3 linked regions of the Coturnix japonica genome follow. The protein of the gene in region 1 interacts with the protein of each later gene in a biochemical or structural test. Links are inferred from orthologs where the notes say so. Each region holds a gene or a part of one and is shown on either strand. Other genes may lie near its edges. The genes, in order: DLAT, PDK2 and PDHB.

Region 1 (2,859 bases):
AGAAATTCAAACATTACTAAGGACAATTAGGGGAAAACAGAAGGGAGCTTAGTGCCCATGACAAATTCGCACATCACGTTATTGTAGTGATGATTGTTACATCACAAATCAAGACAAAAGCTGCAACTTTAAAATGCAAACTCCAGGAAGACCATGAAGAGCCAGGTTTTCCTTTGTTTCTCTGTAACCTAAGAGGTCTGTACAGAAGTACCTGGGGATTTGCAGCTATCAGAGCTGGCCTGCTGCAGGCTGCGAGCAGCAGTGTACTCACCACCAGCACTCTAAGCACACACATGAGGCATAGACCTGCAGGCTAACAAACCTATTCCAGAGTCATTTACTGTTCTTACTGCAGGGAGAAAGCCAAAGCTTTAGTGAGCCAGAACTTGAGCTGCTGCTGAGAAGTGCAGCAAGGAAGGTAGGAAGACTCAGGCTTGGTTCTGTGTGACTCAAGACTCAAGTTTGGTGCGACAGTCATTAAGCATGGGATAACCTGGGATATCTGTGATTACAGCTGAGGGTTATTAGGGTGAGTGTCACTGTTAGATGGAAAGGCTGAACAGCTCTGCTTTGCCACAGCGGTACAAACAGCCACACGTGACTCAACAGAAAAGCACTGCAACATGTTTTAGTAGTTGTCAATTCAAAACATTTAATAGAACGTAGGTTCACAAGAGCAGGTCTGGAACCCAGATATTTTAGAACATTAAAAAAGAACCCAAAAACATAATGCACTTTTTTTTTTGCTTAAGCCAGGCATGAAAACCAGCTAACACAGCAACCAGACATTAAATAGTTCCCACAAAAATATTTAATTTCCACAGTATTTTCTTTCAATATCTTTAGTGAGTTTTGTATCAGAACTTTACAGGGGACTGTACTTAATGCGATACACAGAACGACAGATCAGCTTCATCTGTTTTTGGTTTTTGGTTCAGTTTTTGGTTCACTTCTCCCCCCTGTTCAATTCTCCAGGTCACGCTGAAGTTACTACACAACCCTCCTTTTTACATGAATGTTTCCATGTGGAAAGTGGAATTTAAGCACATTCAGCACTGCACCCCTTTCAGGATACAATGACTGGGGTAACTGGACTCAAGTCCAACAAGCAATTCCAACATCTCACATACAATATATACACAGATAGCACATTCTGCTGCTCACTGAGGCTGGGACAACACAGACAGTTCAGGGAAGAACTGCAGTACAGTGACTAATGCAGAGCTTCCTATGTTAGAATGCCTGAAAAAGTTGTCAAATGTTTGTGTCACCACATGATTAACACCCAGGGGTGGGATTATGAGCATGTGCCATTTGCCTACATGGGTTCCAACACACAAAGTCTCTTGAAAATTCTGCAAAAGTTACTTCCATGGCATCATAGTCTGATACTAACTCAGCAAGAGGAAAAGCAATTAAAGAGTCTTCATATGAGAAGCACACGTAAGTGAAAGTCTACAACAAGACAGCACGTTCCCTGTGGTATCTGAGATATGATACCACAGGTATTGGTGTTCTTTCACCTTTAAAGTGCTCAGAAGGGATCCCAAAGCTGAGAAGTTCCAAACCAGTGCTAAATTCCAAAAGAGACTTGGAATGCTAACACTTGGCCTTTGAGAAATTATTCCCAGCGGCTTCAGTCCCTTTAGTGCATCTGCCATTGCCACCCCATCCCAGCAGGAGAACAGAATAAGGGAATTCAGCTCCTGTGTTTCAGTTACCATCTCATCTGAACTCCTGTGAAGAGATGTTTGCAATTCAAATTTCTGAGAACAGAGGTTGTGAAATCACCTGCTGTGCACCCCCACCTCATCCAACATAGTTTAGAAACAGATGGCAGCACACACACTGCCTGGATCATTTTGAAATCGGGGATGCTAAACTGTTTTGAAAGAGTTTGCAAGTTAACCAACTGTATAAACATACAGTACAGCTGTAATATTGCCTTGAATAGCATTTCTGCAAACCTTTTCTCTGTACAGACTGGTAAGAACGTTACCAGATAATATAATACATATTTAAAATTAAAAAAAAAAAAAAAAAAAGGAACTCTTTTAATAAGTCTGAATACTAAAGTCTAAATAGCTCGTTTAAAACAGAACAGTGTGATCCAGGAACATTTTGCTTTGCATGTTTCAATTATAGCAGCATGGTTACTGGCTTTTCAAGGAAATTCTTGAATTCAGCAAGCCACTGTGCTCCAACAGCTCCATCTACAACACGATGGTCACAGCTCAGTGTAACGGACATCATACTGGCCACATCAAATCTGGAAAAGAAAGGAAACAAAAAACATTCGCAGAATTCTCTACAAATTGCTGCCAAAGGTGGTAACGCTAACAAAGCCAAACTGCTTTTGTCAGAGAACTGGCAACGACAACAGAGCTTGGAGACAGATTCTGTCTCCCTGTAGGCACTGGACAAAACGTTCACACTGGAAAGCAGACCGTAATAACTCCTTTTCTACAAGGGAAAAACACAACCGTGTTTATAGCTGTTATTTCAGAGTTTGAATCCAGAAGCAGAATGCAGAACCAGAGGAATTCTGGTTACTTACCCTTTCTCATTGTCAGCTGGCACCAGCCTTTGCTCTGAGGAACCAACTGCAAGGATGCAGGCTTGAGGCGGATTGATTATGGCAGAGAAATTCTTAATCCCATACATTCCTAAATTGGAAATTGTGAAAGTACCACCCTACAGGAAGACATTCACAGAAAAGTCAGAAGAGGTGTTTCACGCAGAATGACTGAAATATCACAAGACAGGCTTTGCTCATTCTGAACATGGACAGAAGCCAATGGCAGCAGTAATAGCAAATGTAGTTCCTCACCTGGAATTCATGTGGCTGAAGTTTACCTT
Region 2 (4,213 bases), on another chromosome or scaffold:
TGCCCCCCCCCCCGCAGTGTGACTTCTTCCAGCGGACCCGCTATTACCGGGTGATGCCCAAATACCACGCGTTCGGATCCGGCAGGAGCAGCGTTATCGCCCCCCGGCCCCAGCGCAAGAAACACTGGGTGGACGAGCTGGCAGCAGCCAGGACAAGTATTACTGACACCCCCCCCCCAACCCTGCACCGCCCCCTCCAGCCCCCACCCCGATATGGGGCTGTGGGGTGACTTTGCACAAGCACAGCAGCAGCATCGTTGCTCCATCCCTGTGCTCCTTGCACACCCCTTGTGCCTCTTGCACGCTTGGAATGGGGAGGGGTCCTCATGTGTTGCCCCCCCCCCGTTGTGTCCTCCTGAGTGCCTTCCTCCTGCTCCTGTGCTGCCGCTCCCCCCCCCCTTCTATGGTGGTCCACCGCCACTGTTGCACATGGGGACACACTCATTGCCACCCCCCCCCCCCCTCGATGCGCCCCCCAACCTTTGTCTGTGCTCTGGGTTTGGGGTGCCCCCCCCCCAGCTTTACTCGTGCCTTCCTCCTGCCCTCCTCATCCTGCACCTTCAGCCCTTGCTGGGGGGGGGTAGGTGCACATAGGTGCACAATGGAAGCTTGCCCCCCCCCCCCCTTCGCTCCTCAGCAGCTGCAGCCACTATGGGGGGGGCTTGGGGGCTTCACCCCCCCCCCTCCCCCATCCCTCACAGCTCTGGGGGTTAAATTATTCCATGTCTCTGTGCGTTCTCGTGTCAAGCCCCAGAGTGGGGTCGGTACTGGGGTTTGAGGGGGGGGGGAGGTGTCTATGAGCCCCCCGCCCCCCCTTCGGCCATGCTCACGCCTCTGCTGGGCTAATAAAGCCTCGCTCTGGGATTTCTAACCTCTCATCTGCCCCGTTGGTTTTGCTATATGGATGGAATAGGGGGAGTAGGGGGTAAAAAAGGAGGGGTGGGAAGGGCAAGGGGTGCCCAAAGGGGGGGGGGGGGGGGGTGATGGTACCGGGGGGGTGATCCCTGAAGGGAGAAGGATGCTGCAGTTGGCATGTGATAACAAGAGAGAGCGCCCCGTGGAGTGGAGGGGAATCATGCGGTGTGTGCGCGGACCGGGCGGCTTATACAGTCGGGAAAAAGGCGATGGGAGTCGCCAGGCCGAAGGGGTTAATGAGCGCTGGGCTTCCGGGCACGAAGGGGTTAATAAAAAGGGGCGGGGTTAAACGTCGGGGGGCGTGTCTAATATAGGGGCGGGTCCGACGGCAGAACGGACGCTGATGGTCCGGAAGGGCGGTGACTGATCAGGGCCGTTGTTATGCGGCCCGACGGGGACGCCGTGGGCTTTGAGGGGAGCAAGCGGGCGATCGGGGCGACGAGGGGTCGCGGGGGGGGGCTGGGGCGGCCATGAAGGGGACTGCTGAGGTGCCTGGGGAAGCTCGGGCGGCCCGTGGGGACCGGGTGCCACACGATACATCGAGCACTTCAGTAGTTCTCGCCATCGCGCTTTCATGAAGCAGTTCCTGGATTTCGGTCGAGTGAAGACCCCCAAGCTCTGCCCACGACCCCCCCCCCAGTAAGAGTCGCCGATGTCATATGTCCGTTATGTATGTCCGGTCCGTCTGTCCTGTCCCCTCTGCCCTGTAAACAGCTGCTCCGGGGTGGGGTGGACCGCATTTAAACGGCCCCCCCCCCCACTCGGAAAATGGACACGCCCCCCCCCCCAACCAGTAGGGGGGGTCCCATGTTGGACCCCCCCTCGCAGTGGCTGTCCATATATATACCCGTATTGCTATGGCTGCAGGCAGGGGGTCCAACCCTCTTCTATGCCATATGCCCCTCCCAGGTCCCTTCCCTGGGTCTAATTTGTCCCCCCCCCAGTCCCCGTTCTTGGGGTCTATGATCGCCCCCCCCCCCAGGTCCCCATTCCTTGGGGTCTATGTCGCCCCCCCATGGGTTGAACCCCACTCTGATGGCACCCATCGTTCCCATCCCCTATAATCAGGGGCACACTGGTTATACTGGGCTGTACTGGGCTGTGCTGGTCCCCTCCTACCCCCCCCCCCATCCCCAAGCCCTCAGTGCTCCCTGTACTATAAGGGACAGTGGGGGGGGTTCAGCCTGTTTCATGGCTGGCTCTGACCCCCATATCCCCCCCCCAGGCTCCAGCAATGCCTGTGAGAAGACCTCCTTTGCCTTCCTGCGGCAGGAGCTGCCCGTTCGCCTCTCCAACATCATGAAGGAGATCAACCTGCTGCCCGACCGAGTGCTGCACACCCCGTCCGTGCAGCTGGTGCAGAGCTGGTGAGTATGGGGACATCACCCCCCTGTCCCCTATAGGGGTCCGGTCTCATTGCTACCACCTATGTGCCCCCATAGGTCCCGCTAATGTCCCTTATAGGGGTCCAATCCCATTGCCACCACCTACTGTGTGCCCCCATGGGTCACAGTGCTGTCCCCTATAGGGGTCCGGTCCCATTGCTACCACCTATGTGCCCCCATGGGTCACAGTGCTGTCCCCTATAGGGGTCCGATCCCATTGCTACCACCTGTGTGCCCCCATAGGTCCCACTGCTGTCCCCTATAGGGGTCTGATCCTATTACCACCACCTGCTGTGTGCTCCCATAGGTCACAGTGCTGTCCCCTATAGGGATCCGGTCCCATTGCTACCACCTATGTGCTCCCATGGGTCACAGTGCTGCCCCCTATAGGGATCCAGTCCCATTGCTACCACCTACTGTGTGCCCCCATAGGTCACAGTGCTGTCCCCTATAGGGGTCCGACCATTGTCACTTACTAAACGCCCCTATGGGTCCCACCCCTGTCACCAGGTGCCCCCATGGATCCCATTGCTGTCCCTGATGGGGTCCAATCCTATTGCCACCACCTGCCTGGTGCCCCCCTGGGCCTACATTGATCCCACTGTGACTTCTGTCACTGCTGCCCCCCCCCCAGCAGGTCCATGGGGTGCTGGTGGGGGGGGTTGACCCAGGGACAGGACATAGGAATCCCATAGAGCAGCACCCATCTCTTACCCTGGGCTGACAATGGCTGCATGGGGACGTGCAGGGGGGTCCTCAACCAAAGGGTGCTGCCCCATTGTCCTGTCCCTGCTGTCCCCTATGGCTGGGGGGGCTGTGTGGTTGGGGGGGGGGGTGTTCCTTTAAGGTCGGTGCTGGCATCCTGGCCCCACTCCCAGCTGCCATGTGACGAGTTGTTTGTGTCCTCAGGTCTGTGCCAGCACTGCCAGTGTAATGGGGGGGGGCATGGGGGGACAGCAGGGCCTGGCAGTGCCCTTCTATCAATGCTTATGTATGGGGGGGTGGGCACATTGCTGGGGCTGTGGGGTGACCATCTCCTCCCCCAGGTACGTGCAGAGCCTGCTGGACATCATGGAGTTCCTGGATAAGGACCCTGAGGACCAGGCCACATTGGGGCAGTGAGTGTGGGGTGCCAGCGTTGTGACCCCCCCCAAACCCCCATAGCATCACCACAACCCCACTCTGGATTCTCTCCTATAGGATAACCCAGCCCAGATCCCAACCCAGCCACCCACACTGGCTGCCCTATGCTTCATATCACCCCCCCCCCCCTCCAGGTTCACCAACGCTTTGGTCACCATCCGTAACCGTCACAACGACGTGGTGCCCACCATGGCACAGGGTGTCATTGAGTACAAAGATGCTTATGGGGACGACCCGGTGTCCAACCAGAACATCCAATACTTCCTCGACCGCTTCTACCTGAGCCGTATCTCCATCCGCATGCTCATCAACCAGCACAGTGAGCATCCCTGTGTGCCCCCCCCCCTATATTGTGTGTCCCCCCCCCGGTGTCACCCCCACCAGCACTGGGCATCCCCCGTGTATCCCTATAATCCCCCAATGGTCCTGAGCATCCCATTCCCACCCTTGCTGTCCCCATTGGTTCTGGATGGCCCAGTCCTGCTCTGGGTAGCATCTCTTGTTTCCCCCAATGCCCCCCCCCCCCACAAGCCATTATGACCTGAGTGCCCCCACCTGGACACCCCCTATTTCCTGACCCCATAATCCCCCTACCCCAATGGTCCCTATTACTCCCAAGCATCCTGCTGCACCCCCCCCTTCCCCCAACCCCCATGTGCCCCCCCCCAGGTGTCCATACCCCCTTAGATGTCCACCCCCCCCAACCCCTATGTGTCCCCTACCCATGCCCCATCCCTATATCTTACCCCATATCCATCCCCTGTACATAT
Region 3 (4,382 bases), on another chromosome or scaffold:
TTGCTAAAGGATGAATCCCTCACCTACACACGTCAAGTTTACAATGATTAACACAGTTTATTAGAACGTAACTTCTCCTTATTTTCTCTGCTTCTTTTGGTTAATATTTCAGCCTTCACCTCAGGCAAGAGAGCAAAACACCAACAGTGGCCACTCAGCATTCTCGCTCCTTTATGCCTAATTGCTTCACTATGAATTCCAAGCTCTGAAAGTTTCTTTCCCACACCTGAGGAACAATACAACATCTCAGTTTGGGACTGGGTTCTGAAGCTCCATCTGCCAGATGCTTGAAAATCCCACATCACCATTTGACCCTCCTCATGCAGGAGTCCAAGGACTGCAACTGCACCTGCCCTGCTCCTGCTGGCACCACACAGTCACTCTGCACAGTGTCAGTAGTTGGTTTTACCCACGTATCTTGTTCCATGGCACCAGCAGGCAGCTGTGTGCATGGGGAAACATCTCCCAGCAGTGCTGGATGAAGGCAGGTGTCAGGAGCACATCCTGCACAGCCAACAGTGCTGACACAGGGACCAAGCAGCAGGATGGTGACAAGAATCGTCCCTTCAAACCCAGGCCCACAGGAGGAGTCGGGAACAGCCGCTTTCCATCCCAGAGGAACGCACGGAAGGAAATCTCCCCCTGAGATCGCAATGATTCAGCAAAGGATGCTGGACACGACTGCACCGCTCCACCCGCTGCCCCCAAGTGCCCATCGCCTGGATACCGCTCCCGGCCCCAGCCCGGCCCTCCTGCAGCGAGGGGCAGCCCCTGTTCGAACTGAGGGCCGGGTACAGCCTCACAACATCCCAAACGGGGCCCGGCAGCCCCCAGCCCCAGGTACCCGCAGTCCCACAGGGGGCCCAGCCCCGTTTCCCCCCCCCCAGTGCAGCCTCCGGCCGCTCACAGCCCCGTGTTTCCCTCCCACCCCCCACAGCAGCACAGCACAGCACAGCACAGCATAGCACAGCACAGCACAGCACAGCACAGCACAGCACAGCACAGCATAGCATAGCATAGCATAGCACAGCCCGGCCCGGCCCGGCCCGGCCCCGCCCCTCCTCACACTCACAGTCGCAGGTCCCGGCGCTGAAGCAGAGCCCGGCGATGATGGGGGCGACTGAACCGGGAGCGAAGCAGCCGCCGAGGAGGGAGGAGCGGGGGCGGGTTCTGCCGCGATCCCCTCCCCGTGTCTCCGCCCGCTCCGCTCGGGTGAGGGAGGGAAGCCGCCTCCTTTCACCTCAGGGCCGACAGTGGGGACACCTCGCTCCGCCCCACGCCTCCTTGGCGGGCAGTTGTGTCACTGAAGAGGGGCACACAGATGAAGGGGGGCGGTGGGGGCGGTGCGGTCCCGGCGGCAGGAGGCGATGCCGCGTTGATCGCGCCCCGAGCGGCGCCATGCGAGCAGCACCGAGCGCGGCACGGCCTCACCGCCACCACAGCGCGAGACCGGAAGTGACGCATAAAAAGAGCGCTGGCTGCCAGCGCCAGTTCTCGCGAGAGTTCAGGCAGGGGCCGAGGTAGCGCGGGGGCCGGGCCGTTGCCCGGTGCTATAGAGGACACGGCCAAGATGGCGGCGGCGGCGGGAGCGCTGCGGCTGCTGGTGCCGCGAGGCCGCCTTCTCTCGCCACGCAGAGGCTTCCACCTCTCCGCGCCCGCCGCCATCCAGGTACGGGCCGTGAGGATGGAGCTGGGGCGGGGGGTTCATCCGTACGGGCGGGGTGGTGCGGGTGAGCCGAGGGACGGCCGCCCTGCCCTGCCCAGCACTGCCCGGCTGCCGCTTCCCGCAGGTGACGGTGCGGGACGCGCTGAACCAGGCGCTGGACGAGGAGCTGGAGCGGGATGAGCGTGTGTTCATGCTGGGCGAGGAGGTGGCACAGTACGACGGTGCCTACAAGGTGAGGGAGGGGGGGCCCTGCCGGGGCCGCAGTGCGGGCTGTGCGGGGGCTGACACCGCTCCGATCCTTTCAGATCTCCAGGGGGCTGTGGAAGAAATACGGGGACAAGAGGATCATCGACACCCCCATCTCCGAGGTACGGCGCGGGGCTCCCCCCACAGGGCTCCCCGTGGGCCGAGCTGTGGCGCTTAATGCTGTTTGCTCCTCTTCCAGATGGGCTTCGCAGGAATCGCCGTTGGTGCCGCAATGGTCAGTACGCCCTCAGTCCTAATGAACTGATGTACAAAACGAGCTGCTTTGGTGTTAAAACATATCGTATGGTCTAACTCTGATAGGCGGGGTTGAGGCCGGTGTGTGAATTCATGACGTTCAACTTCTCCATGCAAGCAATCGACCAGGTTATCAACTCTGCTGCCAAGACGTGCTACATGTCTGCAGGAACCATCGCCGTCCCCATCGTGTTCCGTGGCCCCAACGGGGCTTCAGCTGGCGTTGCCGCACAGCACTCGCAGTGCTTCGCTGCCTGGTACGGGCACTGCCCGGGGCTGAAGGTTGTCAGTCCTTGGAGCTCAGAAGATGCCAAGGGGCTGCTGAAGGCATCGATCCGGGACGATAATCCAGGTGAGCACAGTCAGATGACGGCAGTATTTAACTCTCATTTCTGAATGCTTCTTTTCCTCTCCCACCTCATGTAAAAAGATAAAAAGTTTATTCAGCACTTAAGCATTTTGTGCTGTTCTAACCTGCTTGCAGGTACTCATCTAGAAGCTTTGAAAGACACATTTATGAACTCATTGTAAAGGCATTATAAAGGATGAAGATGAGTCAGGAGAAGTACCTGCAGATACAGTACAGTGTAACTCATTTTTTAGAGTTGATGAAGCTTAGATGATAAATTCAGAATCTCATTAAGCAAAATCAGGGCAACCTTCATCTTTCTTTCTCACAAGCACACGTGCAAAATGTAAGGCTTTTTCTGAAGCTAGCAGTTCTACAGAAACATTTCTTAGCCACAGCCTTTGCAGTTTTCCCTTGATCTACCTTTAGAGATGAACTGAAGACAGTATTTAAACTAACTGCGTAGTGAAGTTGATTGACTTTTAATTGTTTGTATTGGTCTTGCAAATATTCTTCTGCGGTACCGTTAATGATAAGTACAGCCTGTTCCTGCAGAGGTATGAATTAATCCAAGTATGTTTTGTTCTAGTTGTGGTGCTGGAAAGTGAATTGCTGTACGGCGTTCCCTTTGAGATGTCAGAACAGGCACAGTCAAAGGACTTTGTTATTCCAATTGGAAAGGCCAAAATAGAAAGGGAAGGTAAGCTGAGAACACAGTGTATGTACCTGTATGTATCCTTACTAACCAAGCTGCCTGGGGACTCTTAGCTGTTCAAAATACTGCTATCATGGGGCACAGGAACACATTTAAATTGTTAAATACTCAAATATGATTTATCCTGTATTGTACTCAATTGTTTGTTCTCAGTTTCTCACTTAAAACTGTACCTCCCTAGAAGGTTTCTTTCTCAGCCTAAGGATGGTGTTGGTGATGTGCAGGGAAGTTCTCACCTTACTATGTCATTTTTGTCCAAAATGCAGAAGATATCATTGTAATTTTTCAGCCTGTTTATAATTTACCAATGAATAGCATGAAAGCGTAAAAAAAAAAATAATCCGAAAAGTATTGAAAACATTATTTAGATCCCTGAATCAAAAGATTATCCTCACATAGTCCTGCTGCCATTCTTCACAGGTATAGAAATACTTAACATTTCATGTAGATGTAAGGAACTTAAATTTGCATGAGAATACTGATGCTACCTACAAAAGAGCCCAAGAAAAATGCTTTTTTGTGTGTGTGGTGGGTTTTTTTTTTTCTGCATTTGTTTCTTCTTTAAAACTTGTTTCTGTTCCAGGAACTCATGTTACATTAGTGGCGCACTCTAGGCCTGTTGGGCACTGTTTGGAAGCAGCTTCTATCCTGGCCAAAGAAGGTGTTGAGTGTGAGGTGTGTGGGGTTTCTGTTGCTTTTCTCTGTACAAGGAAAAAGGCAGAGGGTCACCTTGTTCAGGCTCTGTAGAACATCACTTTATAAACTCCAAGCTTTTGTAAGTGCCTTAACTGCCAGAGTATGTGCATTTCTTGTTTCTGCGTTTGACCTTTTCATCACAAAATCAAGTCAGAACTACCAGAGACTTTCAGATTGATCTGCCTGTACAATGAGCAGAACAATGACAGTATGTAGCAGCATGATTATATACAGTGAGACTCATTAAGCATTTTCCATGCTTGATGAGCCACCAAAAGCCATTCTGAAGCATCTGTCAGGATAAGAAGTAATTTCATTAAGTCTTCTTGTCAAAGTCAGAATAGATTGAAGTGCTAAAGGACACAGTGCCCAAACAGCAGTAAAGGTCACGATCAGATCACAGCAAAACTCACTCAGTGCCTTTTTTTAAGGTTATAAATCTGCGCACCATTAGA

What was found.
Region 2: the proteins of DLAT (region 1) and PDK2 form a complex in vitro, tested with the Homo sapiens proteins (2 studies listed by BioGRID). The link is inferred for Coturnix japonica from reciprocal best matches to the Homo sapiens genes DLAT and PDK2.
Region 3: the proteins of DLAT (region 1) and PDHB form a complex in vitro, tested with the Homo sapiens proteins (2 studies listed by BioGRID and IntAct, with this or other methods). The link is inferred for Coturnix japonica from reciprocal best matches to the Homo sapiens genes DLAT and PDHB.

Annotation. Positions count from the first base shown.
Region 1 is NC_029539.1:5,395,942-5,398,800, forward strand, and holds the end of DLAT (dihydrolipoyllysine-residue acetyltransferase component of pyruvate dehydrogenase complex, mitochondrial), read right to left. Parts: coding exon 2,831-2,859; intron 2,695-2,830; coding exon 2,558-2,694; intron 2,270-2,557; coding exon 2,140-2,269; 3' UTR 627-2,139; downstream 1-626.
Region 2 is NC_029542.1:2,597,578-2,601,790, reverse strand, and holds the start of PDK2 (pyruvate dehydrogenase kinase, isozyme 2), read left to right. Parts: upstream 1-1,404; 5' UTR 1,405-1,489; coding exon 1,490-1,511; intron 1,512-2,140; coding exon 2,141-2,282; intron 2,283-3,346; coding exon 3,347-3,418; intron 3,419-3,577; coding exon 3,578-3,762; intron 3,763-4,213. UniProt on the Homo sapiens protein: Kinase that plays a key role in the regulation of glucose and fatty acid metabolism and homeostasis via phosphorylation of the pyruvate dehydrogenase subunits PDHA1 and PDHA2.
Region 3 is NC_029527.1:9,335,688-9,340,069, reverse strand, and holds the start of PDHB (pyruvate dehydrogenase E1 component subunit beta, mitochondrial), read left to right. Parts: upstream 1-1,506; 5' UTR 1,507-1,570; coding exon 1,571-1,669; intron 1,670-1,790; coding exon 1,791-1,898; intron 1,899-1,971; coding exon 1,972-2,034; intron 2,035-2,111; coding exon 2,112-2,147; intron 2,148-2,233; coding exon 2,234-2,519; intron 2,520-3,105; coding exon 3,106-3,216; intron 3,217-3,814; coding exon 3,815-3,906; intron 3,907-4,358; coding exon 4,359-4,382. UniProt on the Homo sapiens protein: The pyruvate dehydrogenase complex catalyzes the overall conversion of pyruvate to acetyl-CoA and CO(2), and thereby links the glycolytic pathway to the tricarboxylic cycle.